3 linked regions of the Schizosaccharomyces pombe genome follow. The protein of the gene in region 2 interacts with the protein of the main gene of each other region in a biochemical or structural test. Each region holds a gene or a part of one and is shown on either strand. Other genes may lie near its edges. The genes, in order: spt5, pct1 and tup12.

The links.
Region 1: the proteins of pct1 (region 2) and spt5 form a complex in vitro, tested with the Schizosaccharomyces pombe proteins (2 studies listed by BioGRID, with this or other methods).
Region 3: the proteins of pct1 (region 2) and tup12 form a complex in vitro, tested with the Schizosaccharomyces pombe proteins (one study listed by BioGRID).

What each region holds. Positions count from the first base shown.
Region 1 is NC_003424.3:1,061,743-1,065,499, reverse strand, and holds the start of spt5 (DSIF transcription elongation factor complex subunit Spt5), read right to left. Parts: upstream 1,757-3,757; 5' UTR 1,634-1,756; coding exon 1-1,633. Other genes in the region: BRCT domain protein Rad4, read left to right, coding at 2,639-2,704, 2,762-2,869, 2,936-3,757. UniProt on the Schizosaccharomyces pombe protein: The spt4-spt5 complex mediates both activation and inhibition of transcription elongation, and plays a role in pre-mRNA processing.
Region 2 is NC_003424.3:2,675,086-2,678,842, reverse strand, and holds the start of pct1 (RNA 5'-triphosphatase), read right to left. Parts: upstream 1,758-3,757; 5' UTR 1,704-1,757; coding exon 1,470-1,703; exon of another isoform or gene 1,416-1,469; coding exon 738-1,415; 3' UTR 217-737; coding exon of another isoform or gene 1-216. Other genes in the region: dut1 (deoxyuridine 5'-triphosphate nucleotidohydrolase), read left to right, coding at 1-216; ESCRT III complex subunit Did4, read left to right, coding at 2,873-3,154, 3,237-3,287, 3,445-3,744. UniProt on the Schizosaccharomyces pombe protein: First step of mRNA capping. Converts the 5'-triphosphate end of a nascent mRNA chain into a diphosphate end.
Region 3 is NC_003424.3:375,358-379,114, forward strand, and holds the start of tup12 (transcriptional corepressor Tup12), read right to left. Parts: upstream 1,781-3,757; 5' UTR 1,760-1,780; coding exon 1,636-1,759; intron 1,575-1,635; coding exon 1,487-1,574; intron 1,090-1,486; coding exon 737-1,089; intron 474-736; coding exon 1-473. Other genes in the region: gluconate transmembrane transporter inducer Gti1, read right to left, coding at 2,835-3,757. UniProt on the Schizosaccharomyces pombe protein: Transcriptional repressor.

The sequences.
Region 1 (3,757 bases), 1.6 Mb from region 2:
AAATGCGGACAACCATACCGGTGTCATCCTTGTACTTTCCTGCTATAACTTTTACATAATCACCATGTCTAAACCTTTTCCTCAGGCCCCGAGATGGTACATCTAACCGTAAACCATCAGAGGATACCATGGTAATAACGCTACCTCGAACATTTTCAACAACACCACTTACTCCAGTCTGCTCACCAACATATACCTCGACATGATCTCCAGGCTGAAATTCAGCATGGCCCCCTTTGACGCTGAGAGCCAAAGAGCTGAGATCCAAATCCTCATTATTAGGATTGAATTTGGATACCTCGTCAAGTGTAGGATTAACTCCTTCAGTTATCAGTGAGGAAATACGAATGTCCTTTACCAAAAATCCATCTTCGAACTCTTCATTGTTGAAGAGGAAAAGTCTAGGACCACGTTTAGAAAACTTAGAAGGATTGCTTTTAAATGCTTCGCTTTCATTAAAGAGTCTTGCTTGAGGACGAGTGGCAGAATTCTTTCGTTTCAACCCATCGGAATAATCAATACGAGGAACTATACGTACACGTGCGGTTAAACCATTTTCTGAAAGGTTGTCAACCTGAGCGAGATCACCGGCGTACTTTCCACGGCGTATACGCACATATGCACCAGGCAACAGTTCAACAACCTGTTTTTGAACTTTGAGTAAATCCGGCATTTCCTTAATTGGAACTAAAATCATGTTATTTGTATAAACATTTAAAACCCCATTAAGTGCATCTAGAACATGTGATTGCTTTCGAGCTTCAACGTATATATAACCGACCAGCGAGTCACGTTGAAATGCTGAAATGATTTCTAATGGAGAGCTAGTATATTGCAAATCCATAGCTTTCCGCATTATGGTAAAAACAATATCCTTTTCTTTGCCAATTTTACAGCGAACAGCCCAAATATTGGGATCATTCACTGAAGGAAGTAGAAGACGTTGGGGAACATTGCTTGTATCTCCAACAACAGTTTGGCTACGACCATACTTTTCACGATACTCCTCAGCAAGGCGTTCAGCATCAACAGATTGTAGTTCCTGTCTTTGACGGTCAAGTTCACGATGGCGACGATCATCACCGACGTAATCCGCTCCAACTTCTTCTTCAATGAAACCATCTTCACGACCAATTTCATCTTCCTCATCTTCAAGCTCTTCCTCGTCCTCATCTACTTCTGCTTCAATATCAAGGAATTGGTTGCGGCGGTCATGGCGAGCCCTTTTTCTTCTACCGCCACCTGATTCATCTTCATCTTCCTCGTCTTCCTCATCATCTTCTTCATCCTCTTCTTCCTCTTCGTTTGCATCAGCTTCTTCCTCGTTTTCTTCAACATTATCCTCATCTTCTTTTTTGTCATTGTTATTTACATTATCGACTTCGTTTTCATTCCCATCTTCGCCTTTATTAATTGTGGTATCATTTGGACTTTCGTTATGGGAATCCACGGGAGAACTCTGTTTTTCATTTGTAGTAATTTTAGCAGCTTCAGAATCATCATTCAGCAAGTCACTTCCATTGGGGGATGCACGGGTAGAATTGATTTTAACTGAAGCAGCATCTTGCTCAGCTGCATCTACCTCAGTCGAATTTGCATCTTTATCAATAGATTTCGGAGAATTCGTATCCATTGTGACTTAAAAAAGAGGAAATAGTACCTATTCCCTCAATGCTTTGTTTTTAGACCTTTAATCTAATATAGGCGATAGGTTCGCCGATTAATGAACTTTTTATTCAACAAGTGGTGTTTTGTTAAAGGTGACTTACAGTACGTACTGCTGCCCTATTTTACCAAGCAAGTAGGTCTTGTATGGCTTGCAGCGACAAGAGTATAGATATACGAAAGAAGCAATTTAGAATGGAATACTTACGGTTTTTTTGTAAAATCAAACTTTTGCTTTAAAAGTATTTGCTTTAATGGTAAGCTTGAGCAATTGCCACTGCTGGTAAACAAACTTGTATACACGAAATGCCATACACAATCTTAAAGTTAGACTTGGTTTAATTGAAATTAAAGATAATGGGATGCTCAGATTATCAATAAATTCATCTTACATTTAAATTGTAATATTATGTTATATTCCATATAACTATGAACCCTTTAGGGCAATATCCCTTTGCGTTACTAAAATCCAATATAAATATTAAACTGGATAAGAGGATATTTTTTACCGAGAGAATATAGGACAAAGGTGGTGTCCATATACTATCTTCTTACTCAATAAATCTTATAATTATGATACAGGTTAAATGAGGAATAATATAATAGCCAGCTCTTGGTGCTTGTTCATAATTTCCCCCAAACCAATGATGCTACTCAGCTATACAGCATCGTGTACATTGCCAATACAGTCGAGTTTTTCGAATAAATGCTTAAAATTTAATTTTGGCCTTTTATGACTCTCCATTTGTCAATCTTCGCACCCACCACGGTAGCATATAACAACTTGGTTTTAGCTTCAATCTACTCTTAACCTTCGAAAGTCGATTTTCTCTAAACATTCTTTATTTTCCCTTTTAAACATTACCAATTTTTGCATTTCCTCACAATAATATGTAGTGGTGATGGACGCGTTTGTACTCGTAAATTACCTATACCTACTCACCTAGAACTCATAAATGTCGGTAGTGAAAGAATGGGTTCTTCTAAACCACTCAAAGGCTTCGTGATATGTTGTACCAGTATCGATTTAAAGCAAAGGGTAAGATTTTTGCACGACGAATCGCATTTTTTGTTATTTGTGTTACTAACTTGACAGACCGAGATATCTACAAAAGCAACTAAACTTGGTGCTGCCTATAGATCAGACTTTACTAAGGATGTCACGCATCTTATAGCCGGCGATTTTGATACTCCAAAATACAAGGTATGTCGTAAAATCTTACAAATTACACTATCCTTCAAGAGTAAATGCTGACATTCTTTTCAATAGTTTGCCGCAAAATCCAGACCAGACATAAAGATTATGTCTAGTGAATGGATACCTGTTCTTTATGAAAGCTGGGTACAGGGAGAAGATCTGGATGATGGCCTGCTCGTCGATAAACACTTTCTACCAACTCTATTTAAATGCCGGGTTTGTCTTACCAACATTGGCCAACCAGAGAGATCTCGTATTGAAAATTATGTGCTTAAGCATGGTGGTACATTTTGCCCTGACTTAACTAGAGACGTAACTCATTTAATAGCTGGCACCTCATCGGGTCGCAAATATGAATATGCATTAAAGTGGAAAATCAACGTAGTTTGCGTTGAATGGTTATGGCAAAGTATACAAAGGAATGCTGTCCTTGAGCCGCAGTATTTCCAATTGGATATGCCAGCCGAAAAAATTGGACTTGGCGCGTATGTTCGTCTAGATCCCAATACTACGGAGGCAAAGTCTTATTCTGAAAACCAAAAAATAAGCAAGAATAAAGAAAAGTCTGGTCAATCCTTGGCTGCATTGGCGGAGGAAGCGGATTTAGAACCCGTGATTATGAAACGGGGAAAGAAGAGAGATAGAAGTATTTTATGGGAAGAACTTAATAATGGAAAATTTGAATTTTCCAGCCGTTCTGAAGAAAATTCAGTACTACTGGATGATTTCACTCCCGAAACTGTTCAACCCTTAGAAGAAAACGAATTAGATACGGAACTCAACATCGAAAACGAAGCTAAACTTTTTAAAAATTTGACTTTTTATCTTTACGAGTTTCCAAACACTAAGGTCTCCAGGCTTCATAAATGTTTGAGCGATAATGGAGGCCAGATT
Region 2 (3,757 bases):
AGCATTGACACTGGCGCCGGTGTGATTGATGCAGATTATCGTGGCCATGTTCGTGTTTTACTTTTCAATTACAGTGATGTTGATTTTCCTATAAAGGTCGGAGACCGGATAGCCCAACTTATTTTGGAAAGAATTGTCAATCCACCAGTCATACTTGTAGAGAGCTTAGAGGCTACAGTCCGCGGTGCTAATGGCTTTGGAAGTACCGGTGTTTGAGGCCGCTTTTAAAACATAACCTGCAATCAAAGGTTTGGACACTTGTATTTTATAATGCTATTTTGTATATTCGGTATGAAAATTCTTCAATAAATATTTTTATTGGGTGAAGTAACTGAAAACTTTGCAATTAAAGGAATATAGGAGTTGTAAGCTGCTCTCGTAAAGATACAGTAATTATAACGAATGATGTTATCAGACAAAGCTGATCCTTAATTTAGGTGTACATTTAGAAAATGTACGTAGAAATTCTAACTACCCGTCGTAATAGGTAAAAAAAAAAATAGAATCATCCAAGATTAAGCCTCAGTTTAGAATCACCGAGATACAAAATCGAAAATTAAAATATGTGCATGGGGGTTTATACCTAACGTGACTTTCTTTTACCTTGATTATTGCCCAGTATGAAATGATGATTAAATTAAAGTAATTAAAAACCCCTTTACATTCTGATGCAAAGCAAGGAACAATTATTAAGAAATGACTTAAGAATGTCAAATAAGTAGCAAAAGTGTAAAGAATTAAGAATGCTCTCGTCTCAAAATACGAACATTGTCCATAAACAACTGTACCCTCCGAAACAAAGGAGCTTCCATTCCATCTTTGGCCTTTTGAGCACGATCTCTCAAATCCGCGATGTTACCAAACTCAACTTCTAGCTCATGACGTTCAGTGGTATCGTAAACTGGGTCATTTTGAGTAGTTTTAGTCAAATCAATTTTAATTTCCTGATGCACATAGCCAACGCGATCTTTAAGTCGTGTCAAACTTGGTTGTTGATTACCTGAAGGCATTGAAACAGGTAATTCGTCGCTGATGGAAATTCGTATATCAAAAGCATCATTAGGGCAATATAAAAATAAATCAGCAACTCTTCGCTTTTTCACACAGGCCAAAACTTGATTGTCACTTTGATTTTTTGAGACGCGTATTTTATCTCGTGAGTTATCTTCAGTTTCATAGAACAAATCTACTTGCTTTGTATGCTTATAGGCAAAAGGAAGCCGTCCAGGTTTTTGTGAATCACGAAATGCCTGATTAAGAAACTCATTCAAATATTTATGCTCGGAAGCGGTCATATCACTTTCAAACCGAGTACGAAGATTAAATTCCGGGTTTAAAATAGTTTCATTCATCACCGGAAACTCAAATCGATTTTGAGTTTCCAAGTCAATTAATGTACCAAGTTTCGCCTCAATCTAAAATAAGAAAAAATCAGTTAGTAGAACGTATGACTAAAAACATTTACCAACCTCCACATGTTCAACAGGTTCAGTTATCAAATAATGTGTAAGAAAGTTTGAAATAACTTTAGTCGTATCTGGAACAATCGGTTTATTTAAGAAGTTCATTTCTATCTTTGGTACAGCTACGGATTTTGTCCTTTTTCTTTCGACTTTATCGTGTTCCACAGCATTTTCATCTATCTTTCTTTTTTCAATAGAAGGCAGTTCGTTTTCTTCATGTAATAAACCTTTAAGGTCCATTCGTGATGAATTCGTACTTTTCTTAGTTAATATGGTTAGTAGGTGTACTCACTTAACGTGTACATCCACGTTGCTAAGTTTGTCCCAAAACTGAAGTCAACTAAATTGTTCAATAGCATTACTTTTAATTATACATTTCTTCTTGTAAACATATTAATTGATTCTGACACTGTCACTTTCGGTAGTTCCTTTTTGCCGTTTAGTACTTAGTATACCGACAGGTTGTTTAACATATGCAAAAAGGATATATTAAAAATGGGATTTGTTGAATAAAATAGTTTGATGTGAAATTTTATCAGATATAATACGTATGATTACCGTTAAGTATGAAAACCGTATAGAAACTTACAATAACTTTATAACCGTTCGTGTCGATTTCGTACCTCTATCTGGATGAGTTAGGTTAGGCTACGTTCGTAATTTGTTTCAGGTATAAATCAAGTGTATCGATGTGTTAAAAGTGTGGAAGTAAAGCTATATTGAACTTATCAAACATTGCTAGCTAAGATGACAATGATGTTGATCTTCTTGTCAAAAACTCAAATACTCGCTTGGCATGTTCAAATGAAGCTACTCAAGATGCTTGGTTTAAATACCTCTTTATATAATTTTCAAACTCTCAACTATCCAGTTTATTGAACTGTTAAACTATCAAAAATTAGTAAAGTGTGATACATTGTAAAGTATGCTATTAACTAATAAGCTATTTATTCAACCCAGTTTTACACACACAATTACTTAGCTTTTTTTGAGCCCTCTAAATCAGTTTAATAACTGTAGTATTAAGCTTTTCCTGGATGTTTTACATACGTTTACAAGGTATGATATTTGACTAGATCTGCTTGCTAGAGCATAATAAATACACATTTGCACACATCAATTGTAGCAATTGTTTGTAAAATAACCTTTCCTAGATAGACAAATTCAAAAAATTTTAGTTGGAATTTTTATCATTAATCTTCTGATTGAAAATATATATAGTTAAAAGTCTAGCTTATCAAAAATATAGACTTTAAATATGAAAATTTGTTACGATTTATGTGTTTTTCCAATATAGTAGTTAATATACAAAACGTACTACGTATATAATGATATTATATTAAGCCATTTTGTGTCGTGTGTGTTATCAATAACTAAACATTCATGAGCACAACCACAGCGAAACGCTCATGGGCTTAACTTCTTGGCTATTTGGAGGGGGGAAGTCCCCTCAAGAACAGCTGAGGGCTCATCAGAGATCTCTTGGTCGAGCTGAACGGGAATTGGATCGTGAACGAACGAAATTGGACCAAAGGGAGCGAGCGCTTATTCAAGAAATTAAAGGTAGTGCAAAAGCCGGAAATACTGGTGCTGCCCGTATTCAAGCTCGGGATTTGATGAGACTAAGGAATAGCCGTAAGAAAATGATGAATGCAAAAACGCAGCTACAAGCTATATCTTTGAGATTACAAGTAAGTCCATTTGATTGATAATCTTCACTATATGAGATTTTTTAAATTTTTTCGTTTAACCATAATGCTAATCTTTTTATAGACGATGAGAACCAGCGAACAGATGATGCAGAGTATGCGAGGTGCTACCAGGGTAAGATTACACTAACCCCATTGTTTATTTCTTCTTTCTGATTTATGGAAGCCGTAAATAATCAATTGAGGATCTTCTGGGTTTTAAAAGAAAAGAATTTCATAATGACTTTCCTTTCACCTTAATATCGAAAAATATAGAACTAACTTTTACAAAGTTATTGACAGGGATGAACAAAAGCATGAATATACCGGCAATGGCTCGTATCACTCAGCAATTCGAGCGTGAAAATGAAATTATGGAACAGAGACAAGAAATGATTGATGAAAATATGGACGATGCTTTAGAAGAAGATGACGAAGAGGAAGCTGATGAACTTGTCAATAAAGTGTTGGATGAAATTGGAGTCGATTTGTCTCAAGGATTGCCAGATGCTGCGACCCAAATTGGTACGGTACCGGAGTTAAAGACTGAAGACAATTTACAAGCCAGATTGGATGAACTGGCAAAGCGTTAATTTTCGCACAAGA
Region 3 (3,757 bases), 2.3 Mb from region 2:
GTCCCATATTCTGATTTGTTGATCTTCGACACCAGTAGCAAGGTATTTACCATCAGGACTAAATGCTACACTGCGAACATATAAATCACCTTCACGCTTCGAAGATTCCTCCTGCAGAAGCGTAATTAATTTACCGGTCTCCACATTAAAAACCATAGCTGCTCTGTTACAACCCGTAGCCAAAAATTTTCCATCGGCACTAAACCTTACATAACAAATAACGCTTGTGTGTTCCAGTGTATGAAGTAGTTGAACAGAGATCGGGGGTTCTTTGTTAGGTACATTGCTAGTGACAGTCCAATCTTTCTCCTCTCTATTAGGCACATTGGATGTCGGAATAATTTCAGCAGGATAAGGAGGATTACCTGAGACTTTTCCGTTTACAACCAAAGGAGCAGCGATAGGTGTGACGGAAGAATTAGCTGAGTCAGATGGAGGTGGAGGATGTCCGAGCGGTAAATTGGAAGGAAATGCTGTGAATGGTAAGTAAGAAAATCCAAATTAAAACGAGGAAGCAAAATAGTTTCGGCAATAGTATTTTGTTTTACAAAAAATGAACAAAAGCCGCAAGGAATTCAAACGAATTAATGACAGCATTAAAAAATTGTCTGGGAACATACGGTGTACAACATACCAGATGCAAACAATAAAGTGAAAGACAAAAAGTATCTATAAACTTGATCAAGTCAAAAAACAAATGCTGTTGCCAAAAGCTACAATGCAAGCTTGAACTTACTTCGCATAGCAGATCCAGCCATGGTTGCACCCACAGCAGGGCGTACATGAGGACTGGAATAATATTGTGAACCAAGATCTACGTTCGAGGTCTGAATAGGAGCTAAAACAGTACCATCTGAATCAATGGCAGGTGATCGAAGATTTTTAGGAGTTCCTCCAGAAGAACCGTTATTAAGTATCAAAGGTTTCGAGGAGTTGTCCGAGTTAAAAGGGCCCGCATTTCCATATTTTCCAAAAGAAACGCTATTGCGCCCGTGTTTAGTTTTCGAAGACTGTGGGACGACGCCAGAAGCAATTTCTTTGCGTCTAGCTTCCAGTTGAGCTTTTAAGGAGGTGATTTCTTCTTCGTAACTAGAGAGAGTTAGTAACAAGAAAGATAGCTTTCGAGAAAATATAATATAAAATTGAGAATAAATGTTCACATAGCAGAAGGCATGCTGGTGCTGACAAAAGTGTGAAAAGGACAGAGAATCTTCGAACAGTGATAAACATCCAAATACTGAGTAAAAAACGAAATACCCTTCATCGGAGTAAAAATATGAAAAGATTACTTAATAGAATTTACTCCCATCAAAGGAGCCACCATTATTTAGCATCTTTAAAGATTTATCGTCAACGACCGTAAATTGTATAAATATTTAGAGAGGAATCGCTTTTGTAAGACTCTACAACACTCACAATAATTGCATAACCTTGTACTAATATAACAAACCTTCTCGCCAAGCGTGTATTAGGAAAATTGACATACCGATCCTTCACTTTAGACTGCTGCATCTCCAAATCCATAACGGTTTGTTTCATGAGCGCCATTTCATTAATTTGTGCAGATATCATTGCTAATTTAAGAAGTGTTAGATTTGTACCGCAAATTTGTCAGCAAATTCTTGTATAAGATACCTTTATATTCAAAATCATCCTTTTGAGCTTCAACGGTTTTAGTTTTTTGACAAATATCTTCAAATTCCTTTTTAACCGCTTCTAAAAGCTCATTTACACGTGATGATACATTGGACGTCGCCATAAATTGAAACTTGAAGATGGTAAAAGTGAATTGGCGGACAGTAATCATGAATGATGTTGTTTGAGAAATAACGAGAAATAACATTCGTTAATTTCGGTAAAACCTTCTCGGCTTCGAAGCTAAAGTAAGCAAACTATGTTGAGATTAACATGTCAGGAAAGACAATTTCACTTATGCTTAGCGAGACAATATTGTTGAATTAGTAATTTGGCTGTTCATTCAACTTGCCGCAGTTGGAAAATGTAAAATCATTAATTTGTGATGAAACCTCGTAAAACATATTTTTTAACGTTAATCGATTGAAACCCTTTTTGAATTAGTTCGTGAAATATCTTAACTCTAAAACCTTGAAAATCTTTAGATAGAAGATCCTTTTTTTTTTTTTTTGGGAAGAATATGAAGCGTTTTGATACAATTGGTAATAAAACATTATTTGGTATTGGTTTTTATTGGAAGTTTAGTTTTACAAAAGTGTAGATGTCATAATCCTAATATGAATTCTTAAAGTCAATCAAGAAAACTATTTTATGGGTATTTTGAAACAAACTTACTTTAAGGATGAATTCCATAGAAGTTAACGTAATTTAATTTCATCTTGATAGTGAATAACTTTGAAAACACTATATGCTATTTCCAGAAACTAGTCTCGAATTTTCATACGCCATAGACGGCCTGCTCCTCAGCCCATTGACTTAATTTACTATGATACACTTCCTAGATTTATTGAAAGGGTTTGTTTGCTTGGCATAAATATTCATTTAGTATGCTACTCGCAAAAACTTCAATTTTAAAGCCGCTTTGAAGAATAAGTTATTGCTGGTGGAAAAAGCTATCCTAGAGCATCTGAAAACTACCACTAACATGAACAGAATGTAAAGCAAATAGTACAAAAACAGATATTGAGCTGTGCAGTAAACACATAAAAAAAACATTACTTGAATGGAATGTTTTTACTTATATATGGCACATATAACAAGAGTTGGATAAAAGGATTAATACATAACGTTAAGACATTTAAAAAAAAAAAAGAAAAAAAACCTCACAAAACTTAATATTCGTAAGAATTTTTTTGTAATCATGACAAGGAGCCGCGTTCTTTTGAAAGTGGTTCAGTAAAAAGCATCGTTTGGTTGTTAATGGGATAAGGATTCGTACGTGCCGAAATTCGATTGTGATTTCCATTTAATGAAGAATAATGACAGAATCGATTTCCCGAAGTACGCATTGGTAAAGAAGCAGATGAAGGTATGATAGGAACAGATCCTCGACGCATATTCGAGAGTGGAGGAATTGGAACCTTGGGTAAACGACCACCAGAAGCGTGGTTTTCAGCAGCTAAAGGATTTTTACCTTTCGCAGTGGCGGCATAGTGGTCATAATGACCTCCATGCGGAGTCGACATAGCGGAATAAGCGCTTGACTGAATGGCATTGCCCATACTCTCCATTGACACGGCCTGTTGAGCATAAAGCGGGTTTTGAGAGGCCAGTTCTGAGTTTGAATTAGTTACATGATAACCCATATTCTGGTTCCAAGAGGTGGATAAGTTTTTTGGGATAGAATTGGAAATAAAAGAGTAATTTTCATTGACATCGGGTTGCGTGTCAGACGTTAAAAATTGTTTGGAAGCAGCAAGAGACATGTTATAGGAAGATTGGTCAATTGAATCAGTGTTAGAAGACGGCTGTTTTGGCTGCAAATACTGTGATTTTTGGTCGACATAAGGACCTTCTCCGTAATCGAACAGAGCTTGAGATGGTGATGTGAATTGAATTAAATTCAAATTAACAAATGAATTATTAGCATTGGGATTCACAGGGTTAAAGGCTAATCCGGATGGATTATAAACATCATTCATATACTGTGGAAGAGTCTGTAAAAAGTTTGGGTAGGAATGACGAGCAGCCATCTTTATCGGAGGCTGCTCAATATTTTCATTTAAGGCATTGTTTGAAATTGACTGCAAAGCCGAAAATTGCTGCTGTTGTTGAAAAGATG